2 linked regions of the Elephas maximus indicus genome follow. The protein of the gene in region 1 interacts with the protein of each later gene in a pairwise test. Links are inferred from orthologs where the notes say so. Each region holds a gene or a part of one and is shown in the gene's direction. Other genes may lie near its edges.

Evidence for each region. The genes of interacting proteins can lie anywhere in the genome.
Region 2: the proteins of CASP10 (region 1) and RIOK3 interact in binary tests that used the Homo sapiens proteins (3 or more experiments, as listed by UniProt). The link is inferred for Elephas maximus indicus from reciprocal best matches to the Homo sapiens genes CASP10 and RIOK3.

What each region holds. Positions count from the first base shown.
Region 1 is NC_064824.1:99,904,451-99,912,223, forward strand, and holds the start of CASP10 (caspase-10), read left to right. Parts: upstream 1-4,633; 5' UTR 4,634-5,201; intron 5,202-7,507; 5' UTR 7,508-7,634; coding exon 7,635-7,773. UniProt on the Homo sapiens protein: Involved in the activation cascade of caspases responsible for apoptosis execution. Recruited to both Fas- and TNFR-1 receptors in a FADD dependent manner. May participate in the granzyme B apoptotic pathways.
Region 2 is NC_064829.1:29,626,383-29,634,151, forward strand, and holds the start of RIOK3 (serine/threonine-protein kinase RIO3), read left to right. Parts: upstream 1-4,466; 5' UTR 4,467-4,628; coding exon 4,629-4,673; intron 4,674-7,769.

The sequences.
Region 1 (7,773 bases):
TGAAGTGACAGTGTTAGCAAATTGCCCTCCTTAGATGGCCTAAGGAATGAGATATAAACATAAACATAAGTATATATACATAACTGAACAGAAGACTGTTCAGTTATGTATATATACTTAACATTATATATAATGTCTTAGTTATCTAGTGCTGCTATAACAGAAATACTACAAGCTGATGGCTTTAATAAACAGAAATTTATTCTCTCACAGTCTAGGAGGCTGGAAATCCAAATTCAGGGCACCAGCTCCTGGGGAGGTCTTTCTCTCTCTCTTTTCGGTTCTGGGGGAAGGTATTGTCATCTATTCTCCCCTGGTCTAGGAGTTTCTCAGTGCAGGGACTCCAGGTACAAAGGACATGCTCCACTTCTGGCACTCCTTTCTTGGTGGTATGAGGTCCCTCTCCTCTCTGCTTGCTTCTCTTTTTTATATCCCAAAAGAGATTGACCCAAAACACAGCCAAATCCAGTAGATTGTGTCCTGCCTCATTAACATAACTGCCTCTAATCTTTCCTCATTAACATCATAGAGGTCAGGATTTACAACATATAGGATGATCACATCAGATCACAAAACAGACAACCAAACAATACTGAGAATCATGGCCTAGCCAAGTTCACACACATTTTTGGGGGACACAATCCAATCCATGACATTCTACTCTTTGGTCCCCCAAAATTCATGTCCTTACCACATGTAAAGCACATTCACCCCATCACATCATAGCAAAATCTTAAATCAACTCCAAGTCCAAAGTCTCCTGGGAAAAAATTCATCTTCATCTGTGCAATGTAGAATACAAGTTATCTGCTTCCAAAGTACAATGGTGGAACAGGCACAAGGTAGACATTTCCATTACAAATGGGAGAAATTGGAGGGAAAGAAGGGGTAACAGGCACGGAGCAAGTCAGCAGAACACATTACATTAGCTCTCAATAATCCTCTGTTCTCTGAGGCCATTTAGGCAATGGCCCTGCTCTCCAGACTCTGGGTATTGGCCACAATCTCTGGATCCTGGGTGGAAGCCCCTCAGCCCTGGGCTTCAGCTCTGCCTTCTGGGCCCACTGGAACAGCAACTCTGCTCCCTTGCATTTGGTTGGCCCCATTCTCCTTGTCCATCTGAGTGGTGACTCCACACCCTTGGCCCCCCAGCAGGCCCTGTTCTTCTGCCCCTTGAGCATGGCAGCCCCACGCCCTCAGCTCTGGGCTGTGCAAAAGGCAGCCCCACACTCTACAACCAAGTTGGTAAAGATCTGACTCTTTGAAACCTGGCCCCACCCTTTGAAATCCCAAGGGGCATGACTCAACCCTTTGAGACCCCAGAGGTCTCACAAGAGCTCTGCTTCCTATGCTTTTTGTCACTCCATCTTCTGCTTCCTGGTTTCTTGGCCTCTTGGCCCCTTGGGCCCCTAAGGCCAGCCCAGATTCTGCCCTGCTCTGGCAAGTGTTCCAAAGCTCTTTAGCTCTACTGATAAGTGCCTGAGGCACCCCCCTTTCACCAGTAAACCTCACCCAGAAGTCAGTTCTCTTGCTCCTTGGGTTAGCAAGCCAACTCCTCCAAGTATCTGCAGGCACCCCACTCAGCCAGGAAGCCTCCTGTGTAAAGGTACTCATTTCTCTTGCTCTATGGATCAGCTCCCTCACCACTCCCGCTAATTTCCTGGTTCTGCTGCTGCTTCTCACCATCTGTGCCATCCCCATTGTTATAGGCCTTCTCACTTCCTTCTGAGTCCTCACCAGAATTGTCTTTGATGTCCAAAATGCCTTTGCGTAGTCAATAAGACACAGGTAAACATATTTCTGGTATTCTCTGCTTTCAGCCAGGATCCATCTAATATCAGCAATGATATCCCTGGTTCCACGTCTTCTTCTGAATCCGGTGTGAATTTCTGGCAGTTCCCTGTCGATATACTGCTGCAGCCACTTTTGAATGATCTTTAGCAAAATTTTACTTGTATGCCATATTAATGATATTGTTCTATAATTTCCACATTCGGTTGGATCACCTTTTTTTGGAATAGGCATGAATATGGATGTCTTCCAGTTGGTTGGCCAGGTAGCCGTCTTCCAAATTTCTAGGCATAGACAAATGAGCACCTTCAGCCCTGCATCGATTTGTTGAAACATCTCATTTGGTATTCTGTCAATGCTTGGAGCCTTGTTTTTCACCAGTGCCTTCAGTGCAGCTTCTATCTCTTCCTTCTGTACCATCAGTTCCTGATAATATGCTACCTCCTAAAATGGTTGAATGTCAACCAATTCATCCCTATATAGTGATTCTGTGTATTCCTTCCATCTTCTTTTGATGCTTCCTGCATCATTTAATATTTTCCCCGTAGAATCCTTCAATATTACAATTTGAGACTTGAATTTTTTCTTCGGTTCTTTCAGCTTAAGAAATGCGGAGGGTGTTCTTCCTTTTTGGTGTTCTAACTTCGGATCTTTGCACATGTCATTATAATGCTTTACTTTGTCTTCTTGAGCCACCCTTTGAAATCTTCTTTTCAGCTCTTTTAGTTCATCATTTCTTCCATTTGTTTTAGCTGCTCGACTTTCAAGAGCAAGTTTCGGAGTCTCTCCTGACATCTATTTTGTTTTTTTCTTTCTTTCCTGTCTTTTTAATGACCTCTTGATTTCTTCATGTATGATGTCCTTGATGTCAGTCCACAACTCGTTTGGTCTTTGATCATTAGTGTTCAATGCATCAAATCTGTTCTTGAGATGGTCTTTAAATTCAGGTGGGATGTACTCAAGGTCATACTTTGGCTTTTGTGGACTTGTTCTAATTTTCTTCAACTTCAACTTGAACTTGCATATGAGCAATTGATGGTCTGTTCTGAAGTCTGTCCCTGGCCTTGTTCTGACTGATGATATTGAGCTTTTCTACTTTGTCCACAGCTGTAGTTGATTTTATTCCTGTGTATTCTATATGGCGATGTCCACATGTGTAGTCACCATTTATGTTGGTGAAAAAAGATATTTTGCAATGAAGAAGTTGTTGGTCTTGCAAAATTCTGTCATGCGATTTCTGGCATCATTTCTATCACCAAGGCCGTATTTTCCAATTACTGATCCTTCTTCTTTGTTTCCAACTTTTGTATTTCAGTCCCCAGTCGTTATCAATGCATACCGATTACATATTCGATCAATTTCAGACTCCAGAAGTTCGTAAAAATCTTCAATTTCTTCATCTTTGGCCTTAGTAGTTGGTGTATAAATTTGAATAATAGTCATATTAACTGGTCTTCCTTATAGGTGTGTGGATATTATCCTATCACTAACAGCATTGTACTTCAGAATAGATCTTGAAACGTTCTTTTTGATGATGAATGCAACACCATTCCTCTTCAAGTTGTCATCCCTGGCATAGTAGACCATATGATTTTTCAATTCAAAATGACCAATACCAGCCCATTGCAGCTTACTAATGGCTAGGATATTAATGTTTATGTGTTCCATTTCATTTTTGACAACTTTCAGTTTTCCTAGATTCATACTTCATGCATTCCACGTTCTGATTATTAAATGGGTGTTTGCAGCCATTTCTTCTCATTTTGAATCATGCCACATCAGCAAATGAAGGTTCCAAAAGCTTGATTCCAACCACAACATTAAGGCCGACTCTACTTGAGGAGGTGGCTCTTTCCCAGTCGACTTTTGAGTGCCTTCCAACCTAAGGGGCTCATCTTCTGCCACTATAGCAGACATTGTTCTGCTGCAATTCACAAGGTTTTCACTGGCTAATTCTTTTTATATGTAGGCTGACAGAATCTTCTTTCTAGTCTTAGTTTGGAAGCCCTGCTGAAACCTCTTCACCATGGGTGACCCTGCTTGTATTTGAATAACGGTGGCATTGCTTCCCACAACACAGCAACACAAGACCCTACAGTATGACAAACTGACAGATGTGTGGGGGGAGGATGCCTAGGATATAGAAATGCACTTTAGCATGTTTGTTAACAAAAGCATGATAAATCTTGCTTTTTTCAGATATAAAACATCTTTCTAAGATTCTGTACTTCTTCCTGGAGCTCTGCACATTTGAATTAGCTTAATTACAGTATAGTGACTAAGAGCACGGACTTAGAAGTCAAACTTCCTGCTTCAAATCTTGGCTGTGCCACTAGGTAGCTGTGTGACTTTGGGCAAATTACCTAACATCTCTGTGCTTCAGTTTCCACATTTTAAAGCAGGGGTCATAGTGATATTAAACCTTTATAGGGTTGTTGGGATTATTAAATGGGAAAATATTTTAAATACTTGTCCCCAGCATATAGTATGTGTGATATAATTATTATTAGAAATAATTTCTTCAAAGTCTGTCTTTCCTGCTGAACTGAATGCACAGTAAGGGCAGACTGCTTCAGTTTTGTTTACTATTAATTGATTATTTGAGCCTTTTGCAATACCTCCAAATAGGCTTATAGACCAACCCCCCTTTTTTGTTTAAAAATTGTTTTTATTTGCTTATCTACACGTGAACTTTGGGTTTGAATCCTTAATCCTTGAAAAAGGATTAAGATGACTACCATTTCATTAGCTTTTTGGGTTTTACTTTAAAGGTTAAGTGAGTTTGAGGAAGGAGGGAGCTGGAACTCACAGGAAAGGCTGCAGCACTTAGTGGCTACCAAGAGTTCATTTCTGGAAGCCTTTTGCTTTACCTAAGGAGACCTGGTGGCACAGCAGTTAAGTGCCTAGCTGCTAACTGAAAGATTGGCAGTTGGAAACCACCACCTGCTCTATGGGAGAAAGATGTGGCAATCTGCTTCTCTAAAGATTGCAGTCTAGAAGACTCTATGGGGTGGTTCTACTCTGTTTTATAGGGTTGCTATACATTGGAATTGACTCCAGGGCAACGGATTTTTGCTTTACCTGGGAAAATCCTGAGCTCTACATGGGAAAGAAACTTGTGAATTTGCCTTTAGGAGCTGCTGTTTGTCAGGGTTATCTTAACGCTGGGAAAAAAAAAAAAAGGAAAGGGGAGGAGAAATGGCAGACAGGAGATGATGACATCAGCAGGAAATTAATATCAAGTTACAAAAGCCAGAGGATCCAGTTTTCACTTGCTCAGCCAACAAGTTTTGAGTGCTCTTCCCGCGCAAATGGGAGCTTCCTGGAAACTGGAAACACATGGAGGACCTGAATTCCAATTTCCCTGAGTGCTATCAACCTCCAGAGGATCGGTGAGACTTGATCTAAAGGTATGTAATATCTTTTCCTCGCTTGGGTCTCACACCCCAGCCTTTTCCTTTGCTTCACGTCATAGAAACTTGCAAAAGCTAGTTGCCAGCAATGGCATTGTTTCTGCCTGGTTTTATCTGCCGTGCCAGGGAAAAAGAAAGTAAAAGTAAAAAAAGAAAAAAAACAGGGGGGCTCCAACACAGCTTTTTATTGTCAGGAATATGCTAGTCCACAAAGTTTGGCCAACTCAGTAAAGCTAAGGGTCAGAATCTTCAGGAAAATACAATGTACTACTTATTAGAATAGGAAAATGTCTGCAAGAAACCAATCATTTGACCTCAGGGATACTTGAAGGGAAGAACCCATGATAATCCCACAAAAAATAGCTCCCCCCCCACAACAAAAGTAATAACTGTTCATTGCACAAAATTTGAGTGGAAGCCAAGAAGAAAATTTATGTTAAAAAAAATTTTTTTTTATTTTTTATTTTATTTTTTTTTTAATATTTATACTGGAGCCCTGGTGGTGCAGTGGTTAAGAGATCAGCTGCTAACCAAAATGTCGGCGGCTTGAATCCACCGGCCATTCTTGGAAACCCTGTGGAACAGCTGTACTCTGTCCTATAGGGTCACTATGAGTTGGAATCGACTGGATGGCAGTGGGTTTGGTTTGGTTTTTGGACAGTTATACCAAGGAGGAGCCCTGGTGGTACAGTGGTTAAGTGCTCAGCTGCTGAAAGGTGGGCGGTTTGAACTCATCAGCTGCTCCAGGGGAGAAAGATGTGGCAGCCTGCTTCTGTAAAGATTTACAGCCTTGGAAACCCTATGGGGTAGTTTTACTCTGTCCTACAGGGTTGCTGTGAGTCAGAGTCAACTTCACCGGAATGGGTTTGGTTCGGTTTTTGTTTGTAGTTAAACCACCTAGGTTTTTTTTTTTAACCACCTAGCTATTCTTGCTATCGATGTTTTGTTTCTGCCATGTTCTTCCTTTCGAAAGTAATTTCCTGTTTCTAAAAACAGCCAAGTCATGCACAGTGAATATATACCTCAAGGCCTTATGGAATGAATAACATTACAGTGAAAAGTTTTATCGATGCATTGTTCCTCTAATTAGAACAAAATTTAGTGTAGATACCCAAAAGCAAAGACGAGAAGGCAAGGAGGGAAAGGGAAGCTAGATAGATGGTAGCAGTACAAACAAAATGGAGATAATGAGAATGCCGACACATTCTAAAAATTGTAACCAATGACATGGAATAATTTGCATAAAACTTATTAAAGGGGAACCGAATTTGCTGTGTAAACTTTCACCTAATACACAATAAAATATTATTAAAAAAAAAAATTTACCGATCTTCAATTGTAACTTGCTACTTCCCTGATAAAGTCCATAATTGTGAGTATGGTCTGTGAGTTCTGTGTGGCCTTTGCAACAAATTATCAAATGCAGGCAAGAAGAAAAGAGTGTCGTGGGAGTGGGAGGGACGGCTGGTGTCAGAGTTGATAACAAGGGTTGGAAGGTGAAGTATGTCCCACCTGTACCTCACAGGAATCAAGCTTTGGGCTGATGGTGCTGGTCTTGATTCTTCCCGTCCCTCCCCCCAAGTTAGAAGAGAAGGTGTGACTCCACCATTTTACAATTGTACATGTAGAAACTGTTGGATTGGCACTATTGAATTGGCACATGTAGAAATTGCATGTTTTGCTGTGTATATTCTCCACAATAACAAAAATAAAAAAAATTTTTTTTTAATGAATTTTTTTTTTTTTTTAGGGAAGACCATAGTTTATTAACGGGTCAGGTGGAAACACTGATGGGTAATTTGTAACTTCCTGCACTGATCTGAGCAACTTTGTCTAAAACTACCCTTTCCTTTTGGGGTCTGCAATTATGGCTTCTGTGTCTGTGACATAAAGACCTGCTCATGGTTAGCCATTTAAAGTTAAAGATGTAACGAATAGCCCTCAGGGTCCCTCATTATCTTCGGGTTGGTTGATGCTTCAGAAGAATAAACCTCCATGTTGCCTTATTTCTAAAATTTAAAACATAAATCCAAACATTATTCCTGCTATTAGGCAGAAATGAATTTGGGCCTGTGAGCTCCAGCCGGACTACCAGGCCTCAGCGATATCAGACTCTGTCCTCTTCCTTCTTGACTAGTACCACAGGGGACATTTTATTTGGGAGAAATCAGGGTAAATTGAATTCTGATAAAAACTCCCTCCCCACCTCCTGAAGAGTAACATACCAATTGTGTTGGGGTGGAATTTTCTAGGCTGTTGGTATTTTAAGTAACCTTGCAGGAATTTCTTTTTTTCTTTTTTAGCACTTCCAGTAAAGTCTAATGCCAGGAACAGAGGTAGCCAGGATTGGAGGAGGGGCTAGGGAGTTGGGGTGCCGTGTGTCCTCACTCTAGAACTCCTTGCTCCAGTTCTGTCTTTCCCAAGCTGGCTATGACATCTCAAGGTCAAGGTCTGGATACCAGTTTGGAGGAAAATCGTAGGATGGATTTTCGCCGGAAGCTTCTGAAGATTAATGAATGCCTGGGGGCCAAAGATGTGGAGGCCCTAAAGTTTCTCTGCCGAGACTGGC
Region 2 (7,769 bases), on another chromosome or scaffold:
ACCTCCACTTAGATGCCTCACCTCCCATGCCACCCTGCCCACACCCAGCACTGTCCAACACCAGAAACCAAAACACAAAAACAAAATTTTGGAAGAGAAATGAAAGCAACATTGGAATATTCGAAGTCGCCTTAAAGAAAAAAAAAAAAGTTTCTGAGACCTGAAATTAGACTGAAGGTATTAACACATTTAAAGATGTGCCCATGAACAACAGATGTCCAGGTGACTCTCATCCTCAGTGAACAGAGAGGTTTTCCAGTCTCCAGCCTCACAACTCTCCAGTCTACCCTTCACAGCTGTCAGAATTCTCTTTCTAATAAGCAAATCTGAAGATACGATTGTCCTCGTTTAATGACTCCTTATGGTCTAAACTCTGGAGTCCTTGGTCCTGGGCTTGCCTACATTCTGCAACCCAATCTTGTATTTTGCTCCCCTGTTGAACCCTAGGTCTGGCCATGCCAAACCACTTGCCCTTTTCCAATACATGCTGTACGTATACAGCCGCCCTCTGGTGGAAGCCCCCACTTCCCTTACAACCTGTCTGATTCCTGATCACTTTGCAAGACTCAGCTCAAGTGTCTCCTACTCTAATGAGCCTTTCCCGAAAATTTGGTAGAGCTGATGTCTCCCTACCTTACATTCTACTGGGTCCTGCACATGCTTCTATGATAGTATCTTTAGCACTTAATTACTACTTGCATGTTTACGACTTCAAGGTCCACGAGGACAGGTACCTGTTTTTATTCAGATTTGTCACCCCAATGCTAGTCATTTTAGAAAACACTCAGTAAAAATTCATTGAATAAATGATCTAAAAAGAATATCCAGATCCTTCTACTTTCAACTTCTGATCCCTCAGTCGCACATTCTTGTCACACACTGTAACTAAGCCTTTCCTTCTGACCTACTCGCTTCCTTTTTTATTTTTTCTTTTGAAACTCTTGGCTAATTTATTAGAAGGTTCCAATAACTTGTCTAGGTCATCCTCTCGTCTTATCTCCTTTTATCTAAAGTCATGAGGTCCATTTAATTTCTGGTTCTACCCATTTTTCTTCAACTACATACGTATGTTACCCCATTGGGTTCCGTGCCCCAGAGCAGTTGAGCCAATGAAATGTGCTCCAAGTCAGAAAGAGTGAGAAAGTTTATTCAGGAGATGTATACGTGATCGGGGACCCGGCAGTCTCCATGGAGTCCTGAAGAGCAATTTAGAGCTTATATATTATTTTGGCAAGGATTACTTAATGTTTTTAAGCACATAGCCCACAGATGGTCATATACAGCACAAAACAACTACAAAAAACTCTTCATTAAACTAAAGATATGCATGTTGGACATGTGGACTCTAATCTGTATGTTTGTAACAGGCTGGAAAAACTTGCATAAGAATCTCTCGGCTAGTGGAACTGGCCAAGTCCACTCTGACTAGATGAGGTACAAGAAAGAAAGTTGCAGATCAAAAGCCCCAGGCAGCCTTCCTTGCTGCTGTCTTACAGGCAGAAGGCTGTTTCTCAAGAGAACAAAGAAGAGGAGAGAGACCAAGGCCCCAAGAGCGGAGAGAGCTCCTCACCCCTTTGGAAGAGACCAGCGCTGCTGGTGCAATAAAAAATGTTTAGAAATTACTTAGAGCATCATTATGGTGTTAGTTATGTCTAGCTCTCAATCGCCCATTTTGAATAGGAGAAAACATGTTGCAAAGTATTAGGGTCACATGTATCTCAATAATTTATCATTTGAATACTAAGGGGGAACACGATTTCCACACATATCTGCAGTATGGACATTTGTCAAGCACAGGTCTTTATCCCATATATAGTTTATAGTTTTGCCTGATTTTAGTTTGGATTATTTAGAGGATTCAGAACATGTTCTGACCTGGGATGGAAAGAGGATAAGGACCGTGTGCTAATGGAAACCAAGGTCATTATCCCAGGAATCTCAAGTATGGACAGTTAGGGATCCTGGCTCAGGACTGCCATTTAGGGAAAACGGTGTTATTCAGTGTGCATTTCTAGAACGTCTTGTGAAACTGTTTTAACTTTCCTGGAATCCAGATTTTTGGGTCCATGCAGTTGGGGTGACCCACCTAGGCCATTTGCCCTTGGGTGTCCTTTTGAAGCTTGGGCCTTGGAGAAACTGGTTCCTGGGGGTTGCCTTATGAGTCAAACAATGGTCTAGGTAAACTAATAAGATAGTTTTGTTGTAGGCATTGTGCTCTTTTGAAGAATTCAATCAGTTTCTGGAAACAGACTCCAAGAGTCAGAATGGGAGCTATGTTTAGGGTAAATCAGTAATTATTTTAATTGTTCTTGTCCAAAAATAACGAACACATACTCTATTGAAGTGAAAGCAAGGAGATTTATGGAAGATTTGAAAACAGTACAAACTGGGGAAACCTATGATCTCACAAAGTGAAATAAATACTCCCAAGAAGGGGAGGGGAAAAAGGGTAAATATATGTGGTATAATCAGGAAATAATGGTGCAAAATCTATGATTGGTGCTTGCTGAGGTAAGGTAGTCAGAGGCAGGATATCCCGAAGCTGGGAACCTGAGGTGGTTGGTTACACAGGATAATTGCAGTAGTAAATATAGGGGTGTATAGATGGCCGCAAGATGATTATAAAGTATTTCTTCCCAAGGACATTTGGTTTAAAAAATAGGTAGGGGAACAATATATTTCTTGTGGGTAGTCAGCTCTGGACACGTCTGATCAGCTTAAGGACATCAGGACTCTTGCAGGAATACTCTTCCCTTATCCCTGGCTTAACCACAAAGAAGGAAAATGTTTCTTAGTTACAGGCTTTTTTAAGTCTGTACAAAGGTCACTGAATGAAGAGAAGTTAGCAAGCATTGATATGGAGTTCAGACCCAGACTAGCCATTTTACTGGGGTCAAGTGCCTCTGTTGGGGGCTTCTACACATTCTTGAAAACAATGCTGTATGAAAACCCTTACTGACCAAAAATTTGTTTATCAGTTCTGTTCTGACCCTTTTTTTCTACAGGGATATTGTTAAGATTTGATATAAGAGTGTTTCGAGGTTCTCTCATCTTCGGAACATTTTTGATTCTCTAGTCAAAATGTTACCCTGATTTGCAAATCGTATATTAAATAAACTTCAATCAATTTCTATTATTGGCTTAATATGACTTTTTGTTTTAATAGTCTGGATGGTTTGCATACAGGCACTACAGAGCCAGTGTTGACAGGTGAAAACCCCAGGTTTTGCTTGGTGTGGCTTGTTACAGCCAATAAACAAGAGGCCGAGGTGGGAGATTAGAAAGATGCCTTTATTTCATTGTACAAGGAAAGGAGCAATTGGGGTTGTTACCTCCAATACTGCTCAGAGGCAAGTTGGGGAGGTGGGCTTTATCAGAGAGCAGACAAGGAAATATAAATTTATCATGAATATTCAGGATTGACATTTATGCAGGCACTCAGGGCTTGGGGATGACTATGCATTTTCTTTAGTCAAGGGTTCCATTCTCCACGCTGGAGGAAGAGGTTGATTTTTCTTTATTATGATATTAAGTCTCCACCCAGAGGTAGGTTGAGGCCATCTATGGTTATCTTGTCAAGGTCGATTTCAGAAGAATGTGGAGCCCATTTTGCTCCATGTAAGAGGATAAGCCAGAGCAGGTGTCTCTCAGAAGGGTTGGATTCTGAGGCTGCCTGTCTCACCAGTGCTTGGAGCCGGAATGCGTGTGTTCGTTCGACACTTACTAGCTTTGTCATTTATTAGCTGGATGACCTTGGGCAAGTTACTTTACCTCTCTGTGCTTCAGTTTCATCATGAGTAAAATGACGATAATGATAGAACTTGTTCCTTAGGGTTATTCTCAGGATTAAACGAGTTAATTTGAACAATGCCTGAAACACAGTAAGTGAAATGTAAGGCTTAGTTATTTTTACACAGTCACTTTTTAAGAATCTCCCTACAAAATACTGAACCAAAACTTTTACTATACAGACTGATTTTTGCTCAATGTTGTTTTACAAATTTTCACGCTCACCGCCCCGCCCCCAAACAACTGCAATAGCAACAAAAACCGACTGTCTTTTTCAGTGTCTTTCCTTTCTCTGAACTTGCTATTTTCCGTCTGTTACCTTCTCAGTTTAGATTTCACTGGGGAAAGAATGAATGAACAAAGCCTCGTTTCTTTATAATCCACACAGTCTAGCCTAGTTTGACTAGATCCAGTGCTAAGGGCTGTTGGGGAGGAAGAATGAGGAAGGCGGTGCGGAGATAAGGAAGGTCCTTGGACAAGGGACGTCACACCCGGCCCCTGCCCTGCCCTGCACCAGCGACCACGACTCCAAGCCTGGCCACCTGGACCTTGCACTCGGAATCCCAACGGCCAGCGGCCGGAAGTGCAGCCCGCCCGGGGGCGGGGAAAGGTGACTTAGCGAGGGCCGGGCGGCCAATCGGAAGTGATTGCCCCAACCGTGAGGGCGGAAGAGAAGAGGTTAGTTCCGGACGCGGCCGCCGTCGGCGCCATCTGTCACCTCCGCTCCGGCACCAGCTGCCTTTCCCCCCTTACCCTTTGCCTGTCTCCCCTTCGGCGGAGCCCGCTTCCCGGTCCTGCCCCGACTCTACCCTGTTCTTGTCGCTGGCTTCTTCCCCCACATGGATTTAGTTGGAGTGGCGTCTCCTGAACCCCGGCCGGCAGCGGTGAGTGGCGGCCGGGCCTGACCTACCTGTCACCCGGGCTGCTTCTTTCTCTGAAGGCCTGGAGGGGCCAGCGGGCGCGAAGGCGGCTCCTTGAGCGTCTGGGAAGGTTCCAGGGCGGGACCCTGGCCATCACGGAAAGTGGCGAGCCGGCCGCAGGGCTGCTGCGGGCGGCTGGGCAGAGTGGGGCAGGGCCTCTACCGCTCCAAAGGCCACTCGGGACGTTTTCGATCTCTTTCGGTTCTACACCTTGCTTTCTGAATCTCTGTAAAACATATGGAGTAGGACGCGCTTACAGATGTTTATGTTAGAGGGAAAACAGGCCTGACCTTGTTTTTCACGGGCCAAGTGAGTCAAACCCAGCGGTACACAGAAAGTTGGTTTAGGAAGTTGTTGCCTTAAGTTGACAAGTATGGTTATCCTAGTTCGATATTTTCTTGTTTTTGAAGTAGTGAAAGATAAAACCAGGCACACCCTCCCTCTCCTGTCGCTAATAACTCAGAACGGTTCTGAATTCACATTACCTGCCTGTGATTTAATGTTTAAACTTTCTCCCGTAATGGCAAACTTAAAAACGTTTGTTTCGCAATTGATTTCAGGCTCCTCTTTTTTCACGATACTTTTTAGAAGGATGAAAAGACTCCTCTGCCGCTTTACTGAGTTTGTGTGAGAGCAAGGGCACTTTAATAAAGTGTTACTTAAGTTTGTGAAGGAATTATATTTTTTTAGCTTCATAATTGTTCTTTATATGTTAACACAACCTTTGTTCCTTTTAAAGGGTCACCTGTTAATCTTGTTGGATCTTCAGCCTACATCTTAACAGAAAATGGGAAAATGATTAGCGAATAAGTGAAAGAAAATTAATTTTATTAAACTTGTCTTAAAACTGTAGGGAGAATATAAGGTAACCCACTGGCAAATTTGTTTACCTGTGATTTTGCGTGTATTTTCTTCTAAGATCCTATTTAAAAAGTCAAGATCAGTAGACATTACTGATACTAGGAAAAACATAGTCTTCACGTTAAATTCCTTTAAACATCTATGAAAGCTGGGAAAGATGCCACATGAGACCAGCTCTGCTCAGAATACATTCTAACCTCAGCAAATTTCACTTACAAAACTAATTTACTAATAAAATATTATCAGTAATATCCCAATCTAATTCACACCATCAGAGCCTTAAATTTCCATTTTAGTCATTCAGTCAAAAATGACCCCGGGTATATTGATGTCAAAAAACATTTTGACAGGCAAAACAGTTAGAGACCACAAGTACCACTTAATCCTTTATTCTTTGACCTCATGGAAGACAGCAGTGACTAGAGAAGCCTTCATGGAGGAGCTGGAGATTTGAGAAGGATTTTGAAAAAATGGAAAAAATGTTATAGGTCAGTGATGCACAAATATTTTGGGCTTGGAACCTCTATATGCTTAAAAATTATTGAGGAGCACTTTTGTGTATGAAGGTTACGTCTATTAATCTATTGATATTTATTGTTAAAAATTAAAACTGAGAAATTTAAAATATATTTGCCATATTAAAGTCATTATATGCTAACATAAACATTTTTATGGAAAAAAGTTTATTTTCCAAAACAAACAAAAATCAGTGAAGAGAGTAGTATTGTTTTACATTTTTGCAAATCTCCTTAACCTCTGGCTTAATAGAAGACGAAACCCTGGTGGTGAAGTTGTTAAGAGCTACGGCTGCTAACCAAAAGGTTGACAGTTCAAATCCACCAGCTGCTCCTTGGAAACCCCCTGGGGTAGTCCTGCTCTGTCCTGTAGGGTTGCTATGAGTCAGAATGACTTGACAGCAGTGGGTTTAATAGGAGACACCTGTTTCTTGTCTGGTTGCAGTATGAAGAAAATCCATCTACACAGATATGTAGATTATAGCAGGTATAATTTAAAATGGGTAGTGAGAGCATGGTAGAAGGACTGAGAACAAACTGAGTTAATCTCCAAAAATGTACACATTTGTATCCTAAACCTACTACCTTAGAAATTTTTAGAAAACACAAGAATATATAAACATACATTCTATTCATCATCAGAGCGATGATGTCATCACATGGTATGAAGTCTCTGGAAAACTCCATTCTATTCTCTTGAGAGAATAAGAGTGGAAAAGGCAGATAATGTCTTAGTATTATTATGAAAATAATTTTGAACTCAAAGACTCCTTTACAGGTTTTTGGAGACCTCCCCACTCCAGGGTCCCAGGGTGCAAGTTACAAAATGCAGAACTGCAATTATGGGCAAAGAGTTTATAGTCTTCATAGAAGGATTGGTAAACTGTAGGCAAAAGTGAGGAGGTTTCTTGGAAAGGGAGCTGTAAAAATGAATTCATGGTGGTCCTCAAAATTTGTCAAGCCAAAAACCAAACCCATTTGTCACAATTACTGTTGCCTTCCAGTCAATTCCGACTCATAGCAACCCTGTAGGACGAAGTAGAACTGCCCCATAGGGTTTCCAAGGATGTAAATCTTTACAGAAGCTGACTGTCACAGCTTTCTTCTGTGAAGTAGCAGGTAGATTCGAAACACTGACCTTTTTGGTTAGCAGCTGAGCAGTACAATCACTGCAACACTGGGGCTCCTCAAAACTGTCAAGGTCATCAAAAACAAGGAAAGTCTGAGAAACTCACAGCCAAGAGGAGCCTAAGGAGACGTGAAACTAAATTTGATGTGGATCCTGAATAGGATCCTAGGACAAAAAGAATATGAAGTGAAAGTTTGAGGAAATCTGAATAAAGTATGGACTTGAGTTAATAATAACTTATCAATATTGGTTTGTTGGCGCAGTGGTTAAGAGCTCAGCTGCTAACCAAAAGGTCCGGAATTCGAATCCACCAGCTGCTCCTTGGAAACCCTGTGGGGCAGTTCTCTGTCCAGTAGGGTCGCTATGAGTTGGAATGGACTCGAAGGCAACAGGAATTGTGACAAATCTACCACACAAATGCAAGATGTTAATAGTAGGGGAAACTTGGTATGGGGTATATGGGAACTCTGTACTCGCAATTTTTTCTATAAATCTGGAACTGTTCTAAAATAAAAATTTTGTTTTTTGAAATGGATTGGTGTTGTTGTGTAGATC